Mus musculus: one gene and its partners. The protein of the gene in region 5 interacts with the protein of the main gene of each other region in a pairwise test. Links are inferred from orthologs where the notes say so. Each region holds a gene or a part of one and is shown on either strand. Other genes may lie near its edges. The genes, in order: Tfap4, Magoh, Scnm1, Kifc3, Golga2, Patl1 and Pqbp1.

Region 1 (4,255 bases), on a different chromosome or scaffold from region 5:
ACAGCCCAGCCGGCTAGGAAGTGCTGCTTTTCAAGTTACGTGTCCCTGGGATTAGATGCTAATTGATCTGGCATCTACAGTTAGAGATCAGGTTGGTAATATTGAACAATGTTTTCTAATAATACCCAACAATTGTTATAAATAGAAGTATTTCAACTAAGAGGCTCGATTTGGGTGGAACCTTGGAAGGCAGCGAATGGGTCTGGGAAAGGCGCTGAGCTGGAGCGAGGACATTCCGAGGCAGGCGTGGGCTTCCTGAGCCTGGGGCCAAGCCCTCCAGGAGTCTGGGGAGGGCCGGGACCGGAAGGTGGGGGCGTGTCAGAGGACGGAAGCTCACCCCTAAAACGTCCCCTCCCTTGCCCCAGACCACCACTCCCCCCCCATTGTAGAGCGCGCCCTCTGGCGGTGGAGCAAGTTTTATCCCGCCTTCCCCATGAATGAGAAGCTGCAGCCCGCTGCGCGCGAAGTCGGAAAGTAAGGTAGTGAAAGAGGCAAGACAGGACCTGGCAGCCACCACCAGACCTCTAATGGATATTCGGACCGCGCTGGCAGCCTGCCTCAGGGCCGCTGCTGTTCTGGCTTGCCTCCGCCCTTCCCTTCCTTCCCACTTGCTCTCTCTTCCTATGGCAGCCCCAAACATCCGAGGTACCTTGCGCACCTGCCTGTACCCTTCGCAATCTAATTTCCTAGCACCAGTCAGAGTTTGGGCCAGGCAGCCACCTGGGTAAAGACGGAGGGAGGAGGCTGGCGGGTGGTCAGAGTCAGCCCCAAGTTACTTGTGGGAAACAGTGGCTATGACGCAAGTTTCCAGGGGGCCCGGGTCGGCTCGAAAGGGAGCGCGCCAGAGTGGCTCTGCTCCGCTCCGTGCAGTGGCAATTATGAAAATGCAAAAGCCTGAAGCACACACCCAAAAGAGCCTTCCCTTTGCTGCTGCAGCCCCGCCCAGCGCGTCCTCCAGGATAGCGGTGCGCAAAGACCCCGCACTGGGCAGTCCTCACCGGACCCTGGACTGCACAGACTGGGATCCCGTGCGGTGGGGCTGGCCTTTTTTTTTTTTTTTTTTTTTTTTTTTTTCTTTTTAGCTACGCTTGCCAACCTGTCAGCTGATGGACCTCATCACCCATAGTGGCGCATGTAGCTGGGCCGCTGTTCACTCCATTCACATCGTGTCCCCCCACAGCCAGCTGTCGACCCCTGATTCCTGATCCCAGGGTTAAGTCTGCAGACCCATGTAGTAGTCGGTCCCAAGGAGCTTGCGCCCTTCTCGCCCCAGCATCCAGTCGCCCTGGGGGGGGCGCTGCAAATAGTCCTTTGTTTACATGCAATTCCTTACTCCGCGGAAGGAGGCCGGGGAGTGCTGAGTTTTCACCAGCTGTTTCCCGCCTTGAAACAGACATCTGATCAGCTGCAAACACACACACACACACACACACACACACACACACACATACACACGCCCGGGGAGGCAGGCTGGAGAGACCTCCCGCCCGCCCCTCCCGCCCGCCTCCCTCCCCTCGCCGCTGCTGCTGCTGCCGCCAGCATCTGGGACCGGCCGATTCTGCACCTCCGTCCGGCGCTGCCCTTTGATTCGGATTTCCATCTTGCATTCTCCGGCTGACCGCGAGACCTGGCTCGTGCACAGGAGGGGGGCCTATCGCTATGGAGTATTTCATGGTGCCCACTCAGAAGGTGCCCTCTTTGCAACATTTCAGGAAAACAGAGAAAGAAGTGATAGGAGGGCTCTGTAGGTGTGTACTGCTCCTCCCCCCAACCCCTTCTTCCCATTGCAGCCCCCGGCCAGCCCGCCCGGGCGGGTGCGCGTGTGCGCACGCATGGCTCGCGCCTCCGAGCTCGCTCGCCTTTCTTAGCTACTGGGTCCGCTGCAGTCTCTGGAACCCTGCTTGCGTTGCCTAGGGACCCTCTTCCCTTGGAACGTGGGGACCCCGAGAGGTTCTGTCCACTTTTGTCCGCTGCAGGCGGGCGAGTCGCGACGTTTGTAAATTGCAAACAGACCCACGTGGTGCTGCAGCAGTCCCGGCCATGCTTGCTGCTGGTGGCTTTCACCCAGCGCTTCCTCCTCCCCCCGCCAGCTTTGGCTTCCTTCCTTTTCCTTGCTTACTCGCGCTTTCTGGGAACCCTCTTCTAAGGAGGTCGTTTTGGGGGGGGCCCGGAGTGTGCGAGAGGACAGCTACAATGCTGCCATGCCGCGGTTCCAGGCTGCGGGGAGGGGGGGCGGGGAGCCGGGTGGTGTGAACGTTTGCAGAGAACAGGGCTGCAGCAGGGTTGGGGGCGTGCTCGCTCGAGGTTGCGAGGCGTACGTGGACCTTTAGTGGCCATGCTTCAAGCAGGGAAGTTGCGGTCCCCCACACGTTGGCAGTCACTAGTCGCACGTTCTCCGCCCGCGCTCGGGTGCTGTTTACTAGCGAGGCCTGGACGTGACTCTGCAGCCCTCTTGGAGTAGGCGGGCCTCTGCGCGCACGACCTCACGGGAGCTGTAGTTCTCTATGCCGGGTCGGTGCTGCATTGTGGGACTTGTAGGCGCTTCGGGGCCACGCTTTACTTGCACAAAGCTCGGCCGTAACCAACTAGGTGGGCTAAGCAGGCCAGGTGGGGAGGCCTTTTGATGAGGGTGCGTCTTAGGTTGCTTCAGGGCTCTAGTCTACTTCCTGTTGCATATGGGTCTGCAAACTTTGCTGTCCCACTTCTGTTCCTCAGTCATAAATGCAAAGCGTTGAATCTCCTGGTCGGGTGGGTGGTCGGAGGTCTCTCTTGAGATACCCCTTAGTGAGCTTGATCCTACCTAGGTTGCCCCAGATCCACTCGCTACTAAATCGCGATTGACCAGTGGCCGAATCTCTCTTAAACTCTTGTTAAATCGTCATGTCTGAGATTTCTATTGCCGGCCCTGGTATCTGCTCATTGAACCCTACAAGCCGGCTGGGTCCGGGCGGGGATGGTGGTGGTGCACGCAAGGAGAGGTTTCTCCAGCGCGCTTAAGTTTGAAACCGACGATCTCTTTCCTGCCTGCCGTGCTACTCTAGGAGCGTAATGGCTCCCCAGGGCTGGGGCCACGTGCTCCGACACCCCAGCCAGGCAGGGCTGGGGCTGGAGGAGGAGGAGCCCGCTGAGTGGCATAGGCTGGTTGGTAGACAGCAACGCCTGTGGGGCAGGTTGCTGCATAGGTATAAAATCCAGGTAGGGATCCCACTTTACTTTCAAGTTGAGAGCCAATACCTAGGGCCTGTTGGTGGGTCTAGCAGCTGGCAGCCCCCTCTAATCCCCCCCCCCCCAGCTGGCACTAAGATACGGTTCACCTGAGGGCCCAGCAGGTACAAAACAGCAGTAACTAAACTCTTGGACACTAAATATTCTGGGGACCTACTTGCTAGAATTTTCTCTTCGAATCACTACAATCTTGCTGTGAGTCCATTTGTTTTCTGATTTCTTTGTAAAGCTGGAGAAGCTTTATAAAGCTAAGAAGGCACCAGTTAGAGCAGATATTCAGCTGGACTCGATTCCTAAGTTTGCTGTTGTGCTGGCTCCTCTGAGCTGGCTTGGGGAGTGGGGAGTGAAGCCTGATTAGCTCCATATTCTGGAGAGGTCATTCTGGTGCTGGTCCTGCATTGGCTTTGACAGTAGGAACCTCTGGTTGCTATGCCTAAGCCTTTCGGTACTCTTGTCTTCACTCGGTCCCTTTCTCCAGACCTGTGTTGCTGGAGGGCAGTAGACCTGCCCCGCCCCCAGGAACATAGGGTGTTTTCAGGTCTAGTAATTGAGGCACCACAACCTGCCTACAGGCACACAGGTCCTTAGCCTGTCTTGCTTACAAGGAGACAGTTGTACACTGGGCATGGAGGAACATAGCCTCTAGGCCTGTTCATTTTCAGCTGGAGCAACAGCTGGGAGATCTGTCCTGGATGGAGTGTGGGCTGGGCAGGAGCTTATGGTGGATGGACTCTGGTTTGTTTCAGACTGTGGACTTTGCTCCACCCCTCCCTGTTTAGCTGGGTTCTCTCTTGTTTGACTCCTATGCCTTCTGGGCCAACCAGAAGGAGCCATAGGGCAGTGTGGCACACTTTGATGTTTTGCTTGACGTTTTGGACCTTCTGCCTAATGGTTCTGTGAGACTTGGATATAGGCAGTGCCTAGAAAGTGAGATCCAGACTCTAAAGAGCAGGCGCATGGTAATGTCCAGTGGCTGTGTGTGTGTGTGTGTGTGTGTGTGTGTGTGCAAGTGTGCGCATGTGCATAGGTG
Region 2 (4,114 bases), on a different chromosome or scaffold from region 5:
ACCACACCTGTCGTGTGTCAATCTTCTATGACTAGAATTTACCGTATTTCACCTACTTGACCTTAAAATTCCCGCACCAGAAATTTGACCTTTCACAGAGGTCAACTTTGGCTCTTGAAAATGAACCTCTTGGGTAGTGGTCTCCACATTTGACCCACCTCGTTTTTGTTTCAGTTTGTGTGTGTGTATCTTACTTGGTAGTCCTGACTGGCCTGGAACTCACTATGCAAAGAGCAGTCTAGGCTTAAACTCACAGAGGTCTACTCCACTCTGCCTCTGAAGTGCTGGGATCAAAGGCATTGGCCACCATGCCCAGTTCTCACCTGGGTATTTTTTTAGAGGCTTCAGTGAAACTGGATTCTGTCAGCATGTGGCTAGGGCTGAGAATCGCTGCTAAATAAGATGACCAGTAGGAGCCGGGCGGTGGTGGCGCACACCTTTAATCCCAGCACTTGGCAGAGGCAGGTGGATTTCTGAGTTTGAGGCCAGCCTGGTCTACAGAGTCAGTTCCAGGACAGCCGGGGCTACACAGAGAAACCCTGTCTCGAAAAACAAAACAAAACAAGACAAAAAAGCCTAGTAGGGATCCAACATTCATTTAACCGACCCACAACACCTATCTAGACATGTTAGCTTGAAAGGGAAGAATGAAAGGCAACTCGTTCATGAGTGGTGACCCTCGTGAGGATGAGGTAGGAGGGTTTGTGGTTTCAGGTCAGTCTGGATCAGGTAGCAGTACTCTGCCTACACGTAAAATAAAGAAATAGCAGAAAGGGATGTTAGCTAAATGCAGGCAAGTTTCAGGCAACATTGTGGAATGGGAAAGGAGTCATTCTTAAAAGACAGCTAAGTAAAGCCAACTTTATTTTTCGGGACAGGGTCTTAGTATGCAGCCACTGGTCTCAAACTCTCATTACGCTCTTTAGACATTTACTACTAATCTCCCGCCTCAGAGCCACCTCCTGATCTACACACTGGGGAGTGGAAGAAGGCGGGGGATGGGGGTGGCAGCGTACTCATAGATGAGCAAATCATTTTGCCTCCTTTTACTGTGGAAACCCATCTAGGTTCAGAGTGTGAATAACCTCGTTCGACTCACTTGTCTCTTTAAATTGAGGTTGCGCCTGACAGGACTCTAGCGCTCAGTGTTGGGCTGAAACCCAGATGCAGTTCTCGGATCCCAAGATCTTCCAGAACTCTCGATATACAACCAAGGGGGCGTGGCGATCTTGACCCAGCGTCTAGGGGAGGGGGCGTGGTAATCTCGTTCCCGCCTCCGGAGAGTGAGAAACTCTTAGTGTCGCGGTGGCAGACGTCATTTCCGCGCGCCACCATTACGCCAGTATAAGACGTAGACCGCAGGCCGTGGTAGTGTCATCCGTTCCTAAAGTTCCGTCCTCCTTGTCCCTTGCGAGGCATGGAGAGTGACTTTTACCTGCGTTACTACGTGGGCCACAAAGGCAAGTTCGGTCATGAGTTCCTGGAGTTTGAATTCCGACCTGACGGTAAGAGCGGCCTCCCGGCTGCGGGCAGTGGGACCGGCCCCGGGGAGGGCGGAGAGAAGGCGGGCTGCGGAATGTGGCGAAGCGAAGCAAGGGACGCCGACCACCGTGCTGTTGGGTCGTGAAAGAGGCATTCTTTTGTCGGCTTCATTGGTTCTTTCTCTTCATCCGCTGGCGATTCTCCTTCGTAGCTTTTTAAAAAGCCAGGTTGCTTACATTCAACAAAGATTTAATGTCCATCTGAGAATGGGCTGTTTGTTTTCCAGTCTGGGGACAGAGCAACAAAAATAAATTTTCCCCTCTCGTGGAACATGTGTTTCAGAGCCGGAAGAAACCACAGCGATCTCTTGTAGTGTGGAGTGATCAAAAAGTAAGGTCGCTTTTAAAGAGCAGTCTGAGGAGTGTGAATTTGAATTAAGCCGTAATTGAAAAGGGATCAATTTTTGAAGTACAGGAAGAAAAGCATCTACAGGAGTAGCAAGTGTCATAGGACCTCAAAGAGCCAGACATATCCAGGTGGTCACTGGGGTGACTGAGAGACAGTAGTAGGGGGTGATGTTAGTCAAGAGCCTCGCTATACAGGTGTTTGTAGTGCTTGCTTGCATACAGCTTCCTTAGTTTTCAAAGTCCTTTCCCAACCCAGTTGAACATCAGCATGTTCTTCTCTGTGCAGCTAAGATAGCATTAAAATTCCTGTTTACAGCTGAGAACGTGTTCTTTTGCTACATCATGGCAGCCTTTTCCCGGGACTCTAGTTTACTGTCAGGTCCTTCTTCTGTTGTTCAGTAGTTTCAAGTGAAGTACCAAAAACACTACTATCACAGCTGGGAAATGGGTTGAAACATTCGATATAATTTAGGCAAAGCTCATATTCTTTGGAGGGTAATGGTGCTTTGTTCATGTTTTCTAATACGTTGCATTCTTTTTTTTTTTTCTTTTTTCTTCCGAAGGTAAATTGCGATACGCCAACAACAGCAATTACAAAAATGACGTCATGATCAGGAAAGAGGTACAGACCTTTCCTTCACTACGACTTAGCCTTTGGTTTCCCATTGCTTATGTTCTCTCTGGTAATGAAAGATGAAGTGTAGGAAGCGAGCACTTATTTCTAAGCAGCTAGATTATTTCTCTGATTCACTCCCCCCCCCCCCCCAGTGCTGAATCAAAAGCTAGTAAGTGTTTGAAATCTGTGTGTCTTGGTTTGTACCCTCGGTGTGCCCCATACTGACCATGTGACCTCAAAACAAGTTCTCTGGCTGAACTTGGTCTCTGTGTTTTCATCTGTAAAACAAAGGATAAGAAAACCTACCTGTGACTCCCAAATGTTATCATAGAATTAAATATATTAGTCCCTAGTACATAGACTATGAAGACAGCATTGACTTTGCTTCTGAAGAGGAAACGGATCAGGGGAAAGTCTCAACCTCGAATTACGCTCTTTAGAGCTAAACCATAGACATTTACTACTACTCTCCCACCTCAGAGCCCCCTCCTGATCCACACACTGGGGAGTGGAAGAAGGCGGGGGATGGGGGTGGCAGCGTACTCATAGATGAGCAAATCATTTTGCCTCCTTTTACTGTGGAAACCCATCTAGGTTCAGAGTGTGAATAACCTCGTTCAAACAATATGTTGTTTAATCCTGATTATAAAAAGCCCATGTGACAAAGTATTCTGCCATACTTTCAATCAGGAAAATCATGGCCTAGATATTAAATCTGAGGATAGTTACTCTTGCTTGTAAGAGATAATGATAGGCATTTGGGCATATCTGAATCTCAGTAAAGGTCATGTGTTCCATTCTGCTGGGATTTCTACTATATCATTAAGGATATGACAGTATGTCTTCATACAATTTAGCAGTTAATTTTATGCCGAATCAGCATCATATCTTTTTCTCTTTGTTTGGTTTGGGTTGTTTGTTTGCATGACCTAGTGCTCCTCAGAAGCAGTTGGTAGAGTGCTTGTCTTCATGAGGCCCTGGGCTTCATCCTTAGCATCACAGAAACTGATCATGGTAGCCATGTTTATATGTCAGCACTGGGGAGGTGAAAGCAAGAAGCTCAGAAGTTTAAGATCACCAAGGCCAGGCTGCGAGGCATGAAACCTTGTCTGTAAGCAGCAGGGTGTATCAGTTGTCTGTTACCACTATAACAATATATCTGACAGAGGCTATTGCCGGATTATTGTCAGGAATGATACAGACCTGCAATTCCATGACTTTGTAGTTGAAGGCATGGGGATTAGAAATTCAAGTTGGACTCAGTAATGGTGGTGGTGATGGTATAAGACTTTTATCACTCGGGAGGCAGAATGAGACGAATCTCTGAGTTTGACGACAGCCTGATATACAGAGCAAGTTCCAGGTCTGTACAGAGAAACTCTGCCTGAAAAAGCCTTTTTAAAAGAAATAATTAGTTCATAGCAAGTTTGAAGCCAGTGAGGCTCAGTGAAATTCTCAAAAATAAAGAAGAGATTATTTAGCTCATCACTCCAGAGGTTCAAAATCCAAACACCGCTGCAGTAGTGAGAATGGGTGTGTGGCCACGCAGTGACCTCTCTCACCAGGAGAGAAACACACAGACATTGGAGGCCCACAATTCCTCTGCTGA
Region 3 (4,051 bases), on a different chromosome or scaffold from region 5:
CTGATCTGGATCTTGGCATGGAGATCTTGAGGCACAGTGGCTGTGAAAAGCTTAGGTCCAGGCAAGGTATAACATGCCTTTAATCCCAGGAGGCAAGGAGAACTCTGATTCAAAGTCAGCCTGGGACAAAGCAAGTCCCAGATCCAGGTGTGGTGTACACGCCTTAATGTAGGCCACACCTTCTGCTGGAGGCCTACATAAGACCACTGGAAGAAGGAAGACTCACTCTTCTTCCACTGCTTGCACTTACTTGCCAAGCACATCTTTAGAACCTATTTATACAAGACCAGCTGAAACAACCAGCCTTGTGGGACTGAGCAACTATTAGATTCTTAGACTTCTCATTCACAGCTGCCCATTGTTGTAACCCAACAACATGACTACAAACTGTAAGTCATTACAATAAATTACCTCAATATAGACAGATATTCCATAAGTTTTGTAACTTTCCATATTCCTTATGCTCTAATACATAGTTCTAAGAGTTTTTTGTTTGTTTGTTTGGTTGGTTGGTTGGTTTGGTTTGGTTTTTCGAGACAGGGTTTCTCTGTGTAGTCCTGGCTGTCCTGGAGCTCACTCTGTAGACCAGGCTGGCCTCAAACTCAGAAGTCTGCTTACCTCTGCCTCCCAAGTGCTGGGATTAAAGGCGTCGCCACCACTGCCCGGCTGGTTCTAAGTTTTTGTCTTAAGATTTTCCAAGGCCAGGCATGGAGTGCTCACCTTTAATCCCAACACTTGAGGGATAGAAGCAGGCAGATCTTTGTGAATATGAGGTCACCTTGGTCTAAATAGCAGGGTTTCAGGACAGCCAGGGCTACAAACAAACAAAAAGTACACCACCGTGCTCTACTAATGTTACAATTCTCTCTTTTTGAATGTATTTATTTATTGCACTTTTTAAAATATAGGAGTGCTCTGTCTGCATGTGTACCTACATGCCAGAAGAGATCCCTTTTGGATGGTTGTGAGCCACCATGTGGTTGCTAAGAATTGAACTCAGGACTTCTGGAAGAGCCCCCTGCGTTCCTAACCACTGAGGCATCTCACCAAGCCCTAATGTTCCTAATAAGTATGATTATTCTACAATTTTCCACTTGCTAAAAAATTTATTTTAAAATCATAAACCACCGGGCAGTGGTGGTGCACGCCTTTAATCCCAGCACTTGGGAGGCAGAGGTAAGCAGATTTCTGAGGCTAGCCTGGTCTACAGAGTGAGTTCCAGGACAGCCAGGGCTACACAGAGAAACCCTGTCTCAAAAAACAAACAAACAAAAAACCCAAAAAACAAAAAACCTGAAAAAATGATGGTTTACGATTTCTTTTATATATATGAGTACACTGTAGCTGTCTTCAGACACCCCAGAAGAGGGCGCCAGATCTCATTATGGATGGTTGTGAACCATCATGTGGTTGCTGGGAATTGAACTCAGGACCTCTGGAAGAGCAGTCAGTGCTCTTAACTGCTGAGCCATCTGTCCAGCCCCTACCATCATTTAAAAAAAATATTTCCACAAGATTATTATTTCTCAGAATACAATCTGGAGAGCAATAACTTTAAAGTCATCTATTTCCTTCTACCCTTTTCCACTCCTGGCTTTCCCATTCCACGGACCTGTGCTTCCTCCGGCAGCAACTGTTATAGTGGGGAGCTCTGTGTAGAGCATTCTGGGTGATGATTCGAGTCTGGGTTAGCAAAGGAGCCTGGTGATGAAGAGACAGAGTTAGAGCTGTTAGGAGCAAACGTTCCCTCAAGCCTGTTGTGTGAAGTATAGCCCTGTCTAAACCACACCTGATGCCCTCTCACCTCAGTTTTGCTTTCTGTCTTCAATTCGTTCTGCTGTCTTGGATTTTGCTCTGTTCCCTTGCCTGTTTGCTTTTTGCCATAGAAAAGCTTCAGACCTGAGAACAAAAGCAAGGAGGAATGAAAAGCACAATGCCTGGTGGCTTGCTCTCCATCTCCCGCCCTCCCCACTTCTCTGATACTTACTGGACAAATGCTTCTTGCCTGCACGGTGGGCTGTCAACATGGCCAGCGTGTCTAGTACTGGTCGATGGGGGCAGATGGCACAAGCAAAGCTAGGGAAACGAGAAGTGAATGATGTGTGTGGTGTGTGGTGTGTATGTTGTGTGTTCGAGAGCCTGCAGTCGGGGTGTTCTTGCTATGGTGAGTAGGTCCTACTTCTGTCAGAGTACTCCACCACCAACTCCCAGGTTTCCCGATCTCCACCCCTTACACTTCACTTCCAGCCAAAGAGTCCTATTATACTCCTGAACTCCTTAGTGACAAAAGTTTGTTGAGCCTTTGATCCCCGAATCCCCAGGCTTGATCCACTCTTCGCTCTCACCGTCCATCCCGCAGCATCAGTGCCTCGTCCTCAGGGATGTAACTAGCCAGCAGGTCCCCAACTCTCCGTTTCTGCAGGGAGCAGGATAGGAGAAATGAGTAAGAGGGACGGATGGAAATGAAATAGTATGGATAAGGAGTCAAATGGCACACGGGGCTATGCAGATCATAGGGTAGTAGGGGTCACCACTCAGTTCTGGTCCCCTAAGCCCTCCCCTAGATGTCGCCAGAGCAACAAAACAAAACAACAGGGCGGCTGAAGGTGATCAGACTCTCACTAAGGCTTACTTTGAGCACATTGAGTTGACTCCAGTCGTCCCCTTCCCTCTTAAAAGACATAGCGACTGTGAGACTACGATAAATTCCCCTACGCCTACTTCGCTGCTCCTTTAGGCCACCGTAGAAAGAGTACACTATCGCCTTCTCTGCTTCCGGTTTCTTTCTTGTTGAATCTGTACTTCCGGGGATGATGTTCCACGCTTGCGTCGCGCGAACCGGAAGACCCGCCTCCAGCGCCCTGAGGGGGCCTGCATTTCCTACAATACTTTGAGACGCTGTGCCTTTTGGGAAATGAAGTCTTTTGGTTATTTATTTTATTTTTTTATTTTTTTGAAGAGCACACTGCTCACCTGGACACAGGACCTCACATCTCGAAGGATCCAGGTGTTCGGAGACTCAAGATCCTGTATGTGGAGCCGGAATTTCAGGGTGGGACCTTCCTGATGTGGAGCGAGGCGTCAGGGATCTCAGTGGACTATATACTACAAACTCTTGCTGTCCTCAGGCTCGTACTCCTCAGCCACAACCTACCTGGGGTGGGCCTTATTTGGAACAGAGAGGATGTGGGAGCACCCGGCATCCCGACTGTTGGATGTGGGGATACACTGAGGGAAGAGTGTTGATGAGGGTGTCTAGGGTTCAAAGGTCAGAGATCAGGCTTGCGAGGAGTTGGGGAGGGGGCGTCGAAAGTCAACCGGGTCAGCGACTGACAGCTCAGGGAAGATACTTATGGGTAAGGAGCTCGTGGAAAGAGAAATGTAACCGGCCTGGCAGACTTCTTAAGAGACGGACAGTAACTCCAGGCACGGCAAGAAGCAGCAAGAGGAGGACGACGAATGTAGTCTCTCGAGAGTCGGGAGACTGTAGAGAGACGAGAGAAGAGAAAACGAATTATCTGAATATCCATTCCTTGGGTTCGGCCGTCACTGTTACTTAGCTGGGCTTCCCTCAGTTGTGACCCTAGGTCTTGACAGTGAGGAGATGGCTTCTCCCTCTAGACAGCCTCCCCTCGGGGGGTCAGGGCTGCTGCATGGGAGCCGTGCTCGTTCTTATGGAAGCCTGGTACAATCATCCTGCTCCCCAGTGAGGGAAAGACGCCTGGAGCATCAATTGGAGCCTGGAGACACCCTGGCTGGATTAGCACTCAAATACGGGGTAACGGTGAGTCTTCCAGAATTGAGATAGTCCCGAGAAAGTGGGTGGCCCGCTAAGATGCCCCCTCTCACATTATTTAAATTCTATTATGGTCTGTTTTTTTTCTTCCTTATTTTGCTTTCACATCTCAGCAGAGCACTGTTGGGACAGATCTGCCCAACTATCCCAGTGGGAGGAGCAACTCCTGTAGATGGTGAGGGAGGTGGGTGAGTGGGGGCGGGGCTTACAGCCATTAACTGGACTTGTGTCCCTATCAACTTAAGACTGATAAAC
Region 4 (2,615 bases), on a different chromosome or scaffold from region 5:
AGTAGGGAAAGGGCAGACAGGCTGGTGTAGTGAGAGTAGAAGCTGCCACAAAGGTGGGTGAGGCCAGAGCTCAGGCGTGCTTCTGCTTTCTTGAGACGGTCTCACTATGTAGCGCTGACCGGCCTAGAGCTTGCTTTGGAGACCAGGCTAGCCTCAAACTCAGGAGACCTGACTGCTGAGATTAAGGGTGTATGCCCGTGACCCCTTCAGCCATCTTTGTCTTGGAGACCAGCAGTTGCCCATGGTAGATGCATTTTAAATTGTAGACAATGTTTAATTCCTGTCCCGTGACTTCTCAGGGCGGCAGGGTCATTAGTCCCCTCTGTAGATGAACAAACACTGTCAGAGAAGGGAAGCAGAGTGGTTGGAGATGAATGAGCTGGGGCAGCCTTGGCTCCCACACCCACTGGCATCTCTGCTCACAGTGGGAGCCGGCTTGCCAGACACCACAGCCTACAGCACGAGCCCACTCTGCCCCTGGCTCTGGGACCAGTAGCCGCCCAGGTTCCATCCGAAGGAAACTGCAGCCGTCAGGTAAGCCTGTCTAGAAGTGGACTGGATGGGAGGGCAGGAGGGAGCCAGGCTGTCCTTTCCTAGCTAAGGATAAGCTGTTTTATAAAGAGGGAGGAAGCAGCCTAGGAGCCAGGCCTAGCGGCTTCAGCCTGGAATCTCAGCTGCTCGGGAGGCTGACACAAGAGGAGTGGAGATTTGAGGCCAACCTGATCAGTAGTTTCCAAACAATCTAGAAAGGGTAGTTGGGCACGATAGTTTGTGCCTTGTGCCCCTGGCATTTGGGAGACAGAGGGAGAGGCAGAAGGAGCACGCTCTGAACTAGCATGGTTTACACAGTGAGGTCCAGGCTAGTGGAAGTTACATAGCGAGAATGTACCCCACAAAGGGAAGCTGCCTACTGAGCATATGGGAGCCCTGGGTTCCATCCTCAACTCCATAAAACCATGTTTAGAACTCGTCTCCTTCCCTTGCCTGCCTTGGGCAAGAGTCAGAAAGCTTTACTAAATCCCTGGAAAGGGACAGAGGGCCTGGCCCTAGAGGCTCCTAGCATGTGCTCCTGACTTGAGGCCCACACTGTGTATATAGGAGCCCTCACCTTGGTGGGGCTCCTCTGGTACCTGATTCTACCCACCTTCCACAAAGCAGTCCAGACATCCCCGGTGGAAAAGGGGGCCTGGCCCCTCACTGGGTCCAAAGGGGGTGGTGGCAGCTGGGCCAATCCCTCCCCAAGTGAGACATCTATCACTTTGATTTCAGCCTGACAGCTGGGGCTGCAGTCTCCAGGTAAGTGGGGGTCAGCGGCCTGGGGCTGCCCACCTGCTGCCTGCTGTTGGTTCAGGGCTCTGCCAGGGCTCTTGTACAGAGCCAGTCCTGCCTTCTGCTGCCCTGTCCATGTGCTTCTGCTGGCCTCCTGCATCTGCTAAGGGCAAGCCTCCTGAGGCCAGAGGCTGAGCGCTCCTTTTCTACTTTTTCTACAGGGAAGTTGAGGCCAGTGCCTGTGTGAAGATGTGCCACGCTGCCAGGCCCTGTGGCCTGGCGACCTGCTGTAACACCCACCTACCATGAATGCAGGAGATGGAGGCTCTCCCGCCCTGCCTCTCCTCAGAGATGAGAAACATGTTCAGAAGGAAGCGAGTCTCTGTGTGGCTCTGGGCACCCAAGCATGGGGCTTCTGGAAGGGCAGGGATGGCACTCTGCCTGGTGGTAGGCTTGGGAGTCTAGCCGTTGCTGGGAGGGTGGGCTCTCTCCCCACCTGGCCCTTGGGCTGGACTGTTCTCTACTAGTTGAGAAGACTTGAGGAACCAGCTGGGGGGTTAGGGAGAGCAAGAGCATCTCTATCTACCCTCCTGAGGAGGGGAGCCCTCACAGGGCATGTATATAATGTTCTAGGTGTATATAGAAGTCCTCACCCTGTCAGAGGTCTGGGCTATATTTATGGCTGGCAGAGGCCAGTGTGGAAGGGCTGGGTTCTGTTCATCTGCCTGACACCAGGCACTCTCCCTGCCCACTGATTCTCAACATGTTCCTCTCCCCAAATCCTATTTAAGAACTTTTGGAAGCTTAGCCATTTTTACTTATTAAAATGAATGTCTTTTTACACAAGTGCAATCTGAATCGTCAGTACTGGGAGACCCTATGGAGAGTGGGCATTGTGTACCCTGTTGCTCCCGTTGCTGGCTGACCATGCAGACTCCACAAGTTGTCACTGAAGACACTGTGTCCCCCATGCTTTTTATATCATTTCTAGCACCTTGCGGGCCCCTATAACCATTCCATCCCATTGCAGTATCACCTCATGTTACAGAAGGAAAACTAGGCTTCAAAGACCTGCTCATCCTGTGCCAGCCTTTCCTCCCAGTCTGGAACTGTAACTAGTAGTGACCTGATGTATGCGTTTGTATCTGGTCCCCGGTCCCAGCCCTGGAGAACAGGGCTTGCTAGGGCTCCTCCCTTCTTGCTGGCTGCATCAACAGGCTGTTCTGGAGCGCAGACTCTCAGGGATGCCACAAGTATAAAAGTAGTTTCCTGTGGCCTGTGAAAACCACTCTAGAATCTTCCAAGGTCATGCAACCATCGTGGTCTAGTCTCTGGTGGCATCCAGA
Region 5 (3,500 bases):
AGTTTTAATTCGACACACTCTGCCAAGTCCCAAGTTGGCAGAGGGTAGTCATCTTTCTCACACTTGTTTCTAGAGTTACTCTCCTTTACTGTGAACCCAGTTGCACAGTTGTGAGTGAGAGGCAGGGAGAATAAATACCCTGGGAGCTTGAGGAATTGGTTAGCTCATGGACCCATGTGGCTCTGAGCACCTTTCTCAAATCCATCCTCCCGTTCGGTCTGGGGTGTCATGAAAGGGGCCAGGCCTAGTCCGCTTCCTTTGACTCTTCCCACAGAAACAACAGAACCAAGACACTCTGGATCAACTGGAGAAAGTAATGTGATAGATTCTATGTTCGCTCTTTTCATGACTGATGGGGGTTGGGGAGACCTCAGAGGTGCAGGCTTCGGTCTTGCTTTCTTCTATCCTGGAGAAGACTCACCCCACAGGGTGTCCTCCATAGGATCTTTGATAACCTGACCTCATGGTGTGCCTGTCCTGGTGTCTTTGTCTTTCTGGGGGCTCGTCCCTTGGGCCACCCCTGCTTCCCCACTAAGAGCTGTACTTCCTTGTGCCTGCAGGAGAAGAAGGATTATCAGCAGAAGCTGGCAAAGGAGCAGGGCTCTCTCAGGGAACAGCTGCAGGTGAGAGGTCTGGGCAGTGTCCCCGAGTTCTCTGGAGAGTGTTGCTCTCCCTTCTCTCAGCATTGGTGGCCTTTTCTCCAAAGGTTCACATTCAGACCATAGGCATCCTGGTGTCTGAGAAGGCAGAATTACAGACGGCCCTGGCCCACACTCAGCAAGCAGCCAGGCAGAAAGCAGGTAAGGCCTGGGAACCCTTCCGCCTGTACTGATGCTGCGGCGGGCCCGAGGGCTCCATCTGGACCTCTCTTGTTCCAGGAGAGTCGGAGGATCTTGCCAGCCGACTACAGTCCTCCCGACAGCGTGTGGGAGAGCTGGAGCGGACACTGTCTACCGTGTCAACGCAACAGAAACAGGCAGACAGGGTAAGACAGGTCGATTCTCTGGCCATCAGCAGCTTCCTGGTGGACAGTGAGCCTGAAGGGCTTTGCTGCATGGCCGGGTGTCTCACAGCATACACCACGCCAATTCTTGCTGCTTTTGTTGTGTGGTTGGTAAAAGCAACCTGGGGGATGGGTACCCTGCTGGGTAACTGGGGACTGTATAAACAAGCACTGAATGCAACACCTAAAGGCAGGTGCCTGCTGTGACCCTGCTGTTTGTCTGTGGCCTTGACCAAGTGCTAAGTGATGGGATGGGTGCTCATCTCTGAACAGATCTTCAGATGGTGCCATTTGTGGAGGGAGAAGAATGTGCGTGTGCAGTGTATGCAAATCATGTCTGAGAGGATTGGTAAACTTGGGTGGGGAGGGTGACTGAATGGCCATCTGTTCAGAGGAGAGCAAGACTGAGATAGAAGTTAAATAAGAGAAGTATCCTCCGCTTATCTGCAGCCCCCAGGGGAAAGGGCCTAGAGAGTTAGACACCCGAAATGTTCAAGTCTCAGCTCTGTTGACCTAAGTGATTTCAGGCCAGCACGTAGACTTTGTGTGCTGTTTCTGCCCAGTGTGGGTGATGGCAACTGTTCTAGATGTGTATGAAGATTGCATGGGATTATTAGCAACAGTGCCTGGTAAGTGCTCAGTGAACAATATTAACAACACCAGTGGTGTCCAAGAGTTCCTGGCCCAATGCTAGCCTGCTGTAAATGTCAATTTTTTAAAACTTCATAAGGCTCCCACCTTACTGTCCAGAAGCTAAGATCACAGTCTTAGGCCAGCGTATTCAGGTCTCATTCTACCTGACTCATCCCTATGGAGTTTTTAAAAGTATAACTTTATTTACTCTGTGTGTGTGTGTGGGGGGGGGGTGCCTTTATTTATATGCACCAAATGTGTGCCTGGTGCCTACAGAGGGCAGAAGACACTTGGATCCCCTGGAACTGGAGCCATTATGTCAGTGCTGGGAACCGACTGGGGTCTCCTGGAAGAATAACTGTCTGCTCTTTTACTGAGTTTTGTTATTGTTTTTCTCTGTTTTCTATTTATTTTTGTTGAGATGGTTCCCATGTAGCCGTGGATGGCTTGGAACCCTGCCTTTGCCACCGAAGCACTGGGACTAAAGGTGTTTGCCACCACTGCCACCATCCTGCTCATGAGTTCTTATTAAAAAACAACAACAAAAAAGGCATTACTAGTGAGGTGATGGTGGCCCACACCTTTAATATCAGCACTTGAGAGGCAGAGGCAGAGGCAGGCGGATTTCTGAGTTCGAGGCCAGCCTGGTCTACAGAGTGAGTTCCAAGACAGCCAGGGCTACACAGAGAAACCCTGTCTCGAAAAAAATCCAAAAAAAAAAAAAGAGTAGCAGTAGTGGGACTGGAGAGATGGCTCAGCAGTTAAGAGCACTGACTGCTCTTCCAGAGGTCCTGAGTTCAAATCCCAGCAACCACTTGGTGGCTCACAACCATCTGTAATGGGATCCAATTCCCTCTTCTGTTCTGAAGACAGCAACAGTAGTCGTAGTAACAACAACAATAACAACAATAATAATACAAATGAGTGAAGCAGATGGAGTAAAACGTACTTGGAAACCCAGCACTTGGAAGAAAAGGGCAGGAAGATGTGGAGTGAAAGGCCAGCTCCATCTTCATGAGAATATGTCTCCTAAAAACCATGTGACACTGGGGAAGGTGACCATGCCTGTGATCTCAGCACTCGGGAGACTGAGGCTGGAAGGTTCCAAGGCCAGCTTGTAAATTCTAGGCTTACCTGAATCCCTCAGACTGTGTTTGGGAAGAAAAATTAAAAGAGAGCTGGGGTGTTGTTGGTCAGTAATAGAGCAATTGACTGGCTGATACAATGGCTTGAGTTTGATCCCAGCCTTGCAAAAAATAATACTATTATTAATTACAAGCAAAATCTCCAGGGCTGGAGAGATGGCCTGGTAATTAAGAGCACTGACTGCTCTTTCAGAAGACCCATGTGGTGCTTCACAACTTTATATAACTCATGCTTGTGGAGCACAGACATATATGTAGATAAAACACGAATACATATAAAATAAATAAAACAAAGGAACCCTGTCTTAGGTCCCTGAAGGCTATGATCAGTGTAGACCTTTGGTCCCAGCTACTGGGGAGGCTGAGGCAGAAAGACATTTTAGCCCAGGCGTTTGAACCCATCTTAGATAACATAGTGTGACCCCACCTTAAAAACAAAACACACAGAATCACAAATGAAACTTAGAAATGTGATTAGGAAGAGGAAATGTCACTTTGGAATATGACCGTGGCCATTGGTGTTGTGCCAGCTGCTGCTTCAGCCTGCCAGGTCCAGACTCATCTTTCTCTTTCTGCAGTATAACAAGGACCTAACCAAAGAGCGGGATGCCCTCAAGCTGGAGCTGTATAAGAACAGGTAAGAGTGGGAAGGAGGCCGGGCAGTGGTGGCCCATGCCTTTCATTCCTAGCATTTGGGAGGCAGAGGCAGGCAGATTTCT
Region 6 (3,500 bases), on a different chromosome or scaffold from region 5:
AATTGGTGAAGGGTGAGGAAGGAGGAGGGTAATCTCTCCCTCCATGTGTGGTAGGGTCTGCTCTCATGCCTCCAGGGCCAGTTCTACATAGCCTTCCCAACCCATCCCTGTAGTAGCTCAAGCCAAGACCCTACCGTGGTCTCAGGTGGCAACACCGGCTACTAACCTCAGGCTGTTCCTCACTACCCTCAGGTCTCTAGTTGTGCCTGTCTTCATTGTGCCCACATCCCTCTATTTATCTTTTCTTCCATTTCTCCACCACTTACTTGCTCTTAGTGGTCTTTGAGGGTCTGGGATCATCTGAGGAGTGGTGTCAGAGTGCTGTGCCTCACTTGTGCGTTATGGTGCCTGGCAGGGGTCCTTTTGGGCATGGTCTGCACCTCCCAAGCCTGTGTAGCTCTGGACTGGTTGGTGCTCATCTCAGGTTAGCTCCCTGTCAGGGGCCCCGTGATGCCAGTCTGGTAGTTGTTTCTGGCTCACTCCTGCTTGGGGCCAGAGTCCCAGACAGGGTTCTTCAAGTTTTTGGCTTGTTCCCCATCCTGGGAGTTCATCGGGACTTGCCTGGCACCTGATTGGTAGTTGTCTCAAGCTAGCGTCTTTTCAGGCTACTAATCATTCAGATAGTCATAGGTCAAAGCACTGAGCATAGACATAGACTTTCTCCTCTCTGCGCCTACTGACACAACTGCAGGCACACAGCAGCCACATTTGTAGTGCTTCTAAGGGCAGAGTAAAATGTTCTAAAGAATTTTTACTGAATAGTCTTTTTTTTTTTTTTAAGGAAACAAAAGAAAAACAAGTTCGGGATAAGAGAAGAAAAACCCTTGTTATAATTGAGAAAGTAAGTTTTAGAATTTATTTCTATATTTAGTTTCAATTTAAAGGACTATCAAATATATGTGTACCCAAGAAGTAGAAGAATGATCAGTAAACCAGCATTTTTTATTATATTACACTTTATGTATGGGGTGGCATTGTGCATGAAGGTCAGAGGACAGCTTGTAGGGCTGGGTTCTTGCCTTCTGCCATGTGGGTTTTGGTTCTCAAACTCAAGACTGGCTTGGGTGGGTAGGTGCTTTTTGCCTGCTAAGTCATCTCACTGGTCCCTGTTCTTTTATATTATGTAAGAATTGGCTTGTGGTAAGCTCTTGTTGTTTACCAGAGTATTTAGAAGTGATTGTGCTACATACCTTGCCTATGGGATCCTAGAAAGAACACTGCACTGGGGTTTTGTTCACTGCTCTTCAACTAATTACTTTTGAGCAGGACACCTTTTGTGATATATAAGTGTGTGTGTGTGTGTGTGTAGGTGTTTACTCCAGCTTGTGTGGAAGTTAGATGATAACTTAAGGGAGGCAACATGCGGCTCCTTCCAACACAGATGAACTCAGGCTGTCAGCAAGCACCTTTACCCATTGAGCAATCTCATCAACCCAGGTCATCTTAAGCCTAATTAAAAACAGGAATAGTTGCTCATGAACTGATTTAGTTTTACATCATTTATTGGGTGAAATGAGATTATACATATAGACTGTCTATAAAGCATACACCATGTTCAAGACTGTAGAGCTGCAGACTGTCCCTTTTCGGAGTCTGTAACCTGAGACTGAGTTATTTATACTTTTATGCTGTCCTCAGTTTCTTTGTGGAGACAACTATAGTAGTTTTGTTTTGGGGTTGAGTTTGCGATGAGTTGAATACCTGTGAACTGCTTAGACTACTGGTGTCAGCCAGTAAAATTAACTTTTTACCTGGTTGGTGGTGATGCACAAAATCCCAGCATTCAGGAGGCAGAGACAGGAAGATCTCCCAGTTTAGCCTGATATACAGAACGAGTTAACAGGATAGCCAGGGCTACACAGAGTAACCCTGTCTCAAGAAACGAAACAAAAAGAAAATTTGCTTGACTAGCAAAATATTTATCAGGAATCCAGGGTGGTGGATTTTACTCCCAGGGCAGTTTCTAAATGTGAGGACTACATAGTGAATTCCAGAAGGACTACAAAGTGAGACCCTATCTAAAGATTGCCAGGGCTAGAGAAGATGGTAAAATGTTTGTTTGAAGATCAGAGTTTACATCCTGTGCATTCACATAAATGCCAGGCAGGTATGGCAAGCCAATGCTGAGGAGATAAGAGATTAGGATCCTTGGAGGAACCTGGCTAGTTAGGTAAGCCTACTTGGCTACCTCTGGGTTCAGGTGGGAGATGATGCCTCAATATAGAAAGTACTGAAAGATGGAGAAAAACGGCCAGCAATCAAGCCCTGGCATCTCCACACTCTCAAACAGCCTTCTCACTGGAAGGTGGCAGTGTTACAGTAAGTTGGGTATTTCAGCCTAACATTGCTGCTAAAAGCTGGGCAGTGGTGGCGCACACCTTTAATCCCAGCACTTGGGAGCCAGAGGCAGGCGGATTTCTGAGTTTGAGGCCAGCCTGGTCTACACAGTGAGTTCCAGGACAGCCAGAGCTACACAGAGAAACCCTGTCTCAAAAACAAACAAACAAACAAACAAACAAAACATTGCTGCTAGAAATTTTGGGAAACATAATTACTTCACTATTTTATTATTTGACTAACAGTCCAAGAGAGAGAAAGGATGATGGTTAAAGGATTATATCACCATGTTCCCCTACATTTAAAGGAGCACCTTTTTAAAAATTTCTTTTGTTTAAATTACATGCTGGCATTTATACTAGTTAGTCCTAAACTGTGAAGACATTTATCTAATACTCTGGTCCTAACCTGCCATGTTGTGGCCTATTCTGTCTCTCTCCTAGACCTATAGTTTACTCCTTGATGTGGAGGATTATGAAAGGCGCTATCTCCTAAGTCTAGAAGAAGAGCGGCCTGCCCTGATGGATGAAAGAAAGCACAAAATATGTAGCATGTATGACAACCTGAGGGGCAAATTGCCTGGACAAGAGAGGTAATTATTGTGCTTTTAGAGGAGATGGGAGATTCCCTCCATTGCCAAACAAAACTCCACATACTTGGGATTATGATATACTCTGTCCAACTATTCATAAGCTTAGCATCTATCTTGGGTTTTGTTGTTTTTGTTTTGAGAGAGTCACATTGTGTGTCCCTGCCTATCTTTAGTTTCACAGAGATCCGGTTGCCTTCCAAACGCTGGTATTAAAGGTGTAGACCTTTGGTTACTTGTTTTACAACCTCTTGGAATGTGCTCTGAGTAGGAGAAAGTCTGGTTACCATCTAAAAGCAATTAACTGGTGACACTTGGGAGATTGGCACAGAGTTCTCATTGCAGCTTTGATTATTAGAAAATGACCTAATAGCAGTCCCATTAATAAAAGAGCTTAATAATCACAGATATAATTTTAGGAATTCTTATAGGATCATCACTAAGTCTTAAGTCATCTATTTGTCTATATAACATCACTACTAGATGGTACATCTTCATGCAGAGATCTGCTCCAAAGGGGTGTGCTCCTACTTAGTGATTGTTATGTATGTTTAATAATGACAGGAAAAGCATA
Region 7 (4,253 bases), on a different chromosome or scaffold from region 5:
GCGTCAATACAACTGTTTTTGTCATTATCAAAAATCAAATGGCTTTGGAATCTAGGTCCCCTGTCCCCCACAATCTGTCTCTTGCTTAAATCAACTACTCTACCACTGAGCCCCTATGACTGTTTCTGACAATACAGTATTCTCAGAGAGTTCTACGTGAAACTAGATTTGAAGAACAGAGTCCCTCAAATCCTAGAACCAGGAGCCAAAAACAAAATGGTTTTTGTTACTATCAAAAATCAGTAAGAGTTGTCATGTGCCTGGCAGGGGTGGTTCACGCCTTTAATCCCAGAACTTGGGGGGCAGAGGCAGGAGGATTTCTTAGTTCAAGACTACAGAGTGAGTTCCAGGACAGCCAGGGCTACACCACAGAGTAACCGTGTCTGGGAGGGGGGGGGGGGAGTTGTCGTGTCAGGCTTCAATAGTGTTAACTAGCAAACGTTATTTAAGTAAAATATAAACAGGGTGACTGACACTCGGTTCGACACAAAAAGCACGTCCAGAGAAACCCTTGTGTCCTTTTAAAACCTAAATCGGACAAATCAAAAGACCGTGCGGAAAAGCCAGGTGCCATCTGGCTTAGCCCACAGTGAGTTCACACATGCCCTATCCTATGTCAAAAGCCAGCCTGAGAAAAGCGACACGAAGAAACCCTGTGGATATTGGCTCCACGCCTCTCCTCCCTCACCGCCGGAATGGATCTGCCCAGCGTTTCTCTTTTGGCTCACAAAGGGGGTCTAGGAGAAGAGCCAGGGCAACAGTGCGATAGTTTGTCCCACACCGCACATACTGGGACACTCCACGGTGGCGGTTTTTTGACGAAGTCCGAGTGGGAGGGGCCATGCCGGATGCGCAGAGGCAGTGAAGTTTCCGAGCCTCCCGGGTCAGGGACTTGACACTGCAGCCCCTGCCTTCCCCGCCCGCCTCCCGTTGTCCGCCTGAGCGTCGCGCGGACTGTCCCGAAGCCTGTGCCCATCGCCGTACCAAGGTTCGCGAGCGTACTCCTCCATGGCGCCAGAGTCCGGCCTGGCGCAGTCGGTGGCGCGGGCGAGACACTCCCCCCGTCCCCCTCCCGCTCCGAAACGCCCACAAGCTCTGAGGCGCTGTACGTAGACCAAGGGAACAATTGGTTCTTCTCTGCTTACGTAAGGCCAACGGCGCGCTCTTATTGGCTAGCCAGAAGGGCCACATCCGTTCCATGTAAGCGTCGGATGCGACCAGTTAATTGCACCTGGGGAGAGTCGAGGAGCCTGTTGTGCTTTAAACCAAGAGCCCTTCGGTGTTGGTAAGCACTGTGCCAATGAGGGAGAGGAGGGTAAGGAGATAGACTTTGACTAATCGCACAGTTGTACTGGTAAGGCTGGGGTGTAAGCTTTCTTTTAAAGCTGGAGATGGCGTTGGCATTGTATCTCCCCCATCCTAGCGCCTTGGTTCCGCCCACCGTGCGGACTTTGAGGAACGTTGGGTGATCCCATTTCTGGGTTGCGGGTGTGTGGCACTTGGTCCCTTGGGTGATGGGTGGAGCCTTGGTCTAGAGAGGAACTGGGTCTTTGGTCCATCCGGTCTCCAGTGCCTGGGTCCGGAGAGTTCTGCTGATCCTAATTCTGGCCATATTGCTACATATCTCTTTTATCTTTTAGCACGCATTTTTGTTCTCTTCCAGCTACTGTTGCAGTTACGTAGGTGTGTGTGTGTGTGTGTGTGTGTGTGTGTGTGTGTGTGTGTGTGTGTGTGTGTGAACACACGCGTGGTTACTGGCTATCCAGATTGAAATGTTAATCAGATCTGCCCTTCAGTACTGTCTTGTCTGTTTCTAGGTCTGGTCAGCTACCCACTATGCCGCTTCCTGTTGCGCTGCAGACCCGCTTGGCGAAGAGGGGCATCCTCAAACATCTGGAGCCGGGTGAGAAAACTAAAAGCAGATGCATCTATCATGTGCCAGTGTTAATAGACGTTCTGCTGTTTATTCTATTCTTTATTCCCCCTTTTCTCCGCCCCCTCCCGCCCCTGTCGAACCTAGGTGTTTGCTAAGTAAGTGCTCTGCCATCTTCTGCCGTCCTAGTGTGCATCTTCCCCCGCCCCCTTGTACTGCTGGGGTTAGACCAGAGCTCTTGGATGCGCTCTATTGAAGTATATCTCCTTGACTGGCACCTTGGTTTTGATACTTGGTATCTTGCATGGCCTGGCAGGCATCTCGTTGTCAATATAATTTTTTCTGATATTCATTACTTCTTCGTGGTTGGTGGGTGCTGTGTGAAGTGTAAGGCTGGAGGGATAGCTTTAATTTAAGTCATGAATCAAGTGGACACGGTGGCAGGTACAAATATCTCAGGTACTAAGGAGGCTGAGCTACAAACATGGCTTGAGTCCAGGAGGTCAAGGCCAGACATGGCAATTTGGCAAGACCCAGTCTTCAAAAAATAAAAAACAAATAGACATAAGTATGGTGGCATTCATCTGTAGTCCCCAGCATGGCTGGGGCAGGTAAAAGGGATCACAGGAGACAGCCTGGTTTACATACTGAATTCTAGGCCAGATATACATGTGTCTGTGTGTGTATGTACACATGTATATATGTGTATATATATGTGTGTGTATCAGAAAATAAGTAAAATAAACCCATGACTGCATGGTATTTAACTAATTAATGTTTGAGACATGGTCTCATTCTGTACTTCTGGCAGGCCTGGGACCCATTCTGTATATCAGGCTGGCTTTGCATTCATCAAGATCTGCCTGTCTCCGCTTTCCTAATGCTAGGATTAAGGGTCCAAAAAGGCATCTGATCTATCCTGCAGTCTCCTATGTGCCAAATACAGTGACAGGATGCTGATGCTCTATGTTTACCTCAGCAGAGGTACTTGGGTGATGGGCACCATAACCATTAACATTTATTTAAGGCTGCCTAAGTGCCTGGCACGTATGATATGCTAACAGTCAAAAAAGATGATCTGGGGGCTGGAGAGATGGCTCAGCAGTTAAGAGCACTGACTGCTCTTCTGAAGGTCCTGAGTTCAAATCTCAGCAATCACATGGTGGCTCACAACCATCTGTAATGAGATCTGATGTCCTCTTCTGGAGTGTCTGAAGACAGCTACAGTGTACTTACATATAATAAATAAATAAATAAATCTTTAAAAAAAAGATGATCTCTTAATAAGATTTACTGTATTACTAGGTGCTAATTATACATTATTGCCAATAGTAATAAAGTGGGGCATGAGTTTTGACCTATATGGTGTGCTAGGCACTGGAAAAGTACATCATATTATTGTATGGACAACTGACATCTATTACAAGACTACTTTGTGCCAGACATAGACTTTGTGCCTAACAGTACTAATAATGACCACTGATATTTGTTTTCTTGGGGGTGTTAGGATATGAATCCAGGGCTTCAGGCAAACCCCATATCATTAGTGTTTCTTTTAAATCTTTTTGAGTACTGAGCCCACTGCTGATAGTGTTTATTAGCAATATGGACAATCATACCTGACATCTCTTTTGGTGTCACTATGATGTTGTAGGCACATGCATTTTATTGTTAATTATACCCAGAGCTTAAATCTGTTATGTGCTTACTGATGGCCAGGCACTGGGCTGATAAGAGACACCATCTTTATTCTACTATCACTAGATGTCTGCTGCAAGCTTGCTGTATATCCGCCCCTAGGAATAGAGTCAAAGCAATGTTTACATCAATTCCTTGTTATCCAATATTCATGAGCCAGAAACCCATTGAAGTTCAGGATATGGATAGATTAGCCATTATTTTAGGCAACCCCCCTACTGTTCCAAGCCATTTCATTGAAATACGTTGGGATAATACAATGCCACATGGTATCTGAACTCAGGAATTGATTGGATATCAAATTTTTGAAGATTATCAACGCTGAGCATGTACTTCTGTCTTCCCTGCATGGTGGTGTAGATGTGAGTGGTCAGTCATGTCTCCATGCCTGAGAATAGGAGGAGAACCCCCACACACACACCATCACTATCGGGTAATTCAACTGCTTTTCTCCTTCCCCATTCTTCCAGAGCCAGAGGAAGAGATTATTGCTGAAGACTACGATGATGATCCTGTTGACTATGAGGCCACCCGGATAGAGGGTCTGCCACCGAGCTGGTACAAGGTGTTTGACCCTTCTTGGTGAGCCTACCAACATGGTGGGATGGACTTCATGGACAACATGGTGGCCTTGCCCTTCCTGTGTTCTCTCTTACTGTGGGTCGAGAGGGACGAGATGTGC

Evidence for each region.
Region 1: the proteins of Golga2 (region 5) and Tfap4 interact in binary tests that used the Homo sapiens proteins (3 or more experiments, as listed by UniProt). The two-hybrid records come from large-scale screens. The link is inferred for Mus musculus from reciprocal best matches to the Homo sapiens genes GOLGA2 and TFAP4.
Region 2: the proteins of Golga2 (region 5) and Magoh interact in binary tests that used the Homo sapiens proteins (3 or more experiments, as listed by UniProt). The two-hybrid records come from large-scale screens. The link is inferred for Mus musculus from reciprocal best matches to the Homo sapiens genes GOLGA2 and MAGOH.
Region 3: the proteins of Golga2 (region 5) and Scnm1 interact in binary tests that used the Homo sapiens proteins (3 or more experiments, as listed by UniProt). The link is inferred for Mus musculus from reciprocal best matches to the Homo sapiens genes GOLGA2 and SCNM1.
Region 4: the proteins of Golga2 (region 5) and Kifc3 interact in binary tests that used the Homo sapiens proteins (3 or more experiments, as listed by UniProt). The two-hybrid records come from large-scale screens. The link is inferred for Mus musculus from reciprocal best matches to the Homo sapiens genes GOLGA2 and KIFC3.
Region 6: the proteins of Golga2 (region 5) and Patl1 interact in binary tests that used the Homo sapiens proteins (3 or more experiments, as listed by UniProt). The two-hybrid records come from large-scale screens. The link is inferred for Mus musculus from reciprocal best matches to the Homo sapiens genes GOLGA2 and PATL1.
Region 7: the proteins of Golga2 (region 5) and Pqbp1 interact in binary tests that used the Homo sapiens proteins (3 or more experiments, as listed by UniProt). The two-hybrid records come from large-scale screens. The link is inferred for Mus musculus from reciprocal best matches to the Homo sapiens genes GOLGA2 and PQBP1.

The regions. Positions count from the first base shown.
Region 1 is NC_000082.6:4,556,921-4,561,175, reverse strand, and holds the start of Tfap4 (transcription factor AP-4), read left to right. Parts: upstream 1-1,455; 5' UTR 1,456-1,659; coding exon 1,660-1,748; intron 1,749-1,788; exon of another isoform or gene 1,789-2,511; intron 2,512-2,518; exon of another isoform or gene 2,519-2,589; intron 2,590-3,218; exon of another isoform or gene 3,219-4,184; intron 4,185-4,192; exon of another isoform or gene 4,193-4,255.
Region 2 is NC_000070.6:107,878,441-107,882,554, forward strand, and holds the start of Magoh (protein mago nashi homolog), read left to right. Parts: upstream 1-1,314; 5' UTR 1,315-1,417; coding exon 1,418-1,505; intron 1,506-2,452; coding exon 2,453-2,511; intron 2,512-4,114. UniProt on the Homo sapiens protein: Required for pre-mRNA splicing as component of the spliceosome. Plays a redundant role with MAGOHB as core component of the exon junction complex (EJC) and in the nonsense-mediated decay (NMD) pathway.
Region 3 is NC_000069.6:95,131,213-95,135,263, forward strand, and holds the start of Scnm1 (sodium channel modifier 1), read right to left. Parts: upstream 2,801-4,051; 5' UTR 2,684-2,800; coding exon 2,633-2,683; intron 2,417-2,632; coding exon 2,346-2,416; intron 2,077-2,345; coding exon 1,988-2,076; intron 1,900-1,987; coding exon 1,805-1,899; intron 1,702-1,804; coding exon 1,613-1,701; intron 815-1,612; coding exon of another isoform or gene 775-814; exon of another isoform or gene 594-774; intron 1-593. Other genes in the region: Lysmd1 (lysM and putative peptidoglycan-binding domain-containing protein 1), read left to right, coding at 3,605-3,784. UniProt on the Homo sapiens protein: As a component of the minor spliceosome, involved in the splicing of U12-type introns in pre-mRNAs. Plays a role in the regulation of primary cilia length and Hedgehog signaling.
Region 4 is NC_000074.6:95,099,328-95,101,942, reverse strand, and holds the end of Kifc3 (kinesin-like protein KIFC3), read left to right. Parts: intron 1-425; coding exon 426-534; intron 535-1,269; coding exon 1,270-1,274; 3' UTR 1,275-1,296; intron 1,297-1,490; coding exon of another isoform or gene 1,491-1,516; 3' UTR 1,517-2,115; downstream 2,116-2,615. UniProt on the Homo sapiens protein: Minus-end microtubule-dependent motor protein. Involved in apically targeted transport. Required for zonula adherens maintenance.
Region 5 is NC_000068.7:32,298,326-32,301,825, forward strand, and holds part of Golga2 (golgin subfamily A member 2), read left to right. Parts: intron 1-274; coding exon 275-313; intron 314-560; coding exon 561-623; intron 624-706; coding exon 707-800; intron 801-878; coding exon 879-985; intron 986-3,359; coding exon 3,360-3,418; intron 3,419-3,500. UniProt on the Homo sapiens protein: Peripheral membrane component of the cis-Golgi stack that acts as a membrane skeleton that maintains the structure of the Golgi apparatus, and as a vesicle thether that facilitates vesicle fusion to the Golgi membrane.
Region 6 is NC_000085.6:11,932,899-11,936,398, forward strand, and holds part of Patl1 (protein PAT1 homolog 1), read left to right. Parts: intron 1-596; exon of another isoform or gene 597-730; intron 731-781; coding exon 782-841; intron 842-2,780; coding exon 2,781-2,929; intron 2,930-3,500. UniProt on the Homo sapiens protein: RNA-binding protein involved in deadenylation-dependent decapping of mRNAs, leading to the degradation of mRNAs. Acts as a scaffold protein that connects deadenylation and decapping machinery.
Region 7 is NC_000086.7:7,896,201-7,900,453, reverse strand, and holds the start of Pqbp1 (polyglutamine-binding protein 1), read left to right. Parts: upstream 1-1,453; 5' UTR 1,454-1,683; intron 1,684-1,817; coding exon of another isoform or gene 1,818-1,836; coding exon 1,837-1,903; intron 1,904-4,041; coding exon 4,042-4,153; intron 4,154-4,253. Other genes in the region: Timm17b (mitochondrial import inner membrane translocase subunit Tim17-B), read right to left, coding at 985-1,010. UniProt on the Homo sapiens protein: Intrinsically disordered protein that acts as a scaffold, and which is involved in different processes, such as pre-mRNA splicing, transcription regulation, innate immunity and neuron development.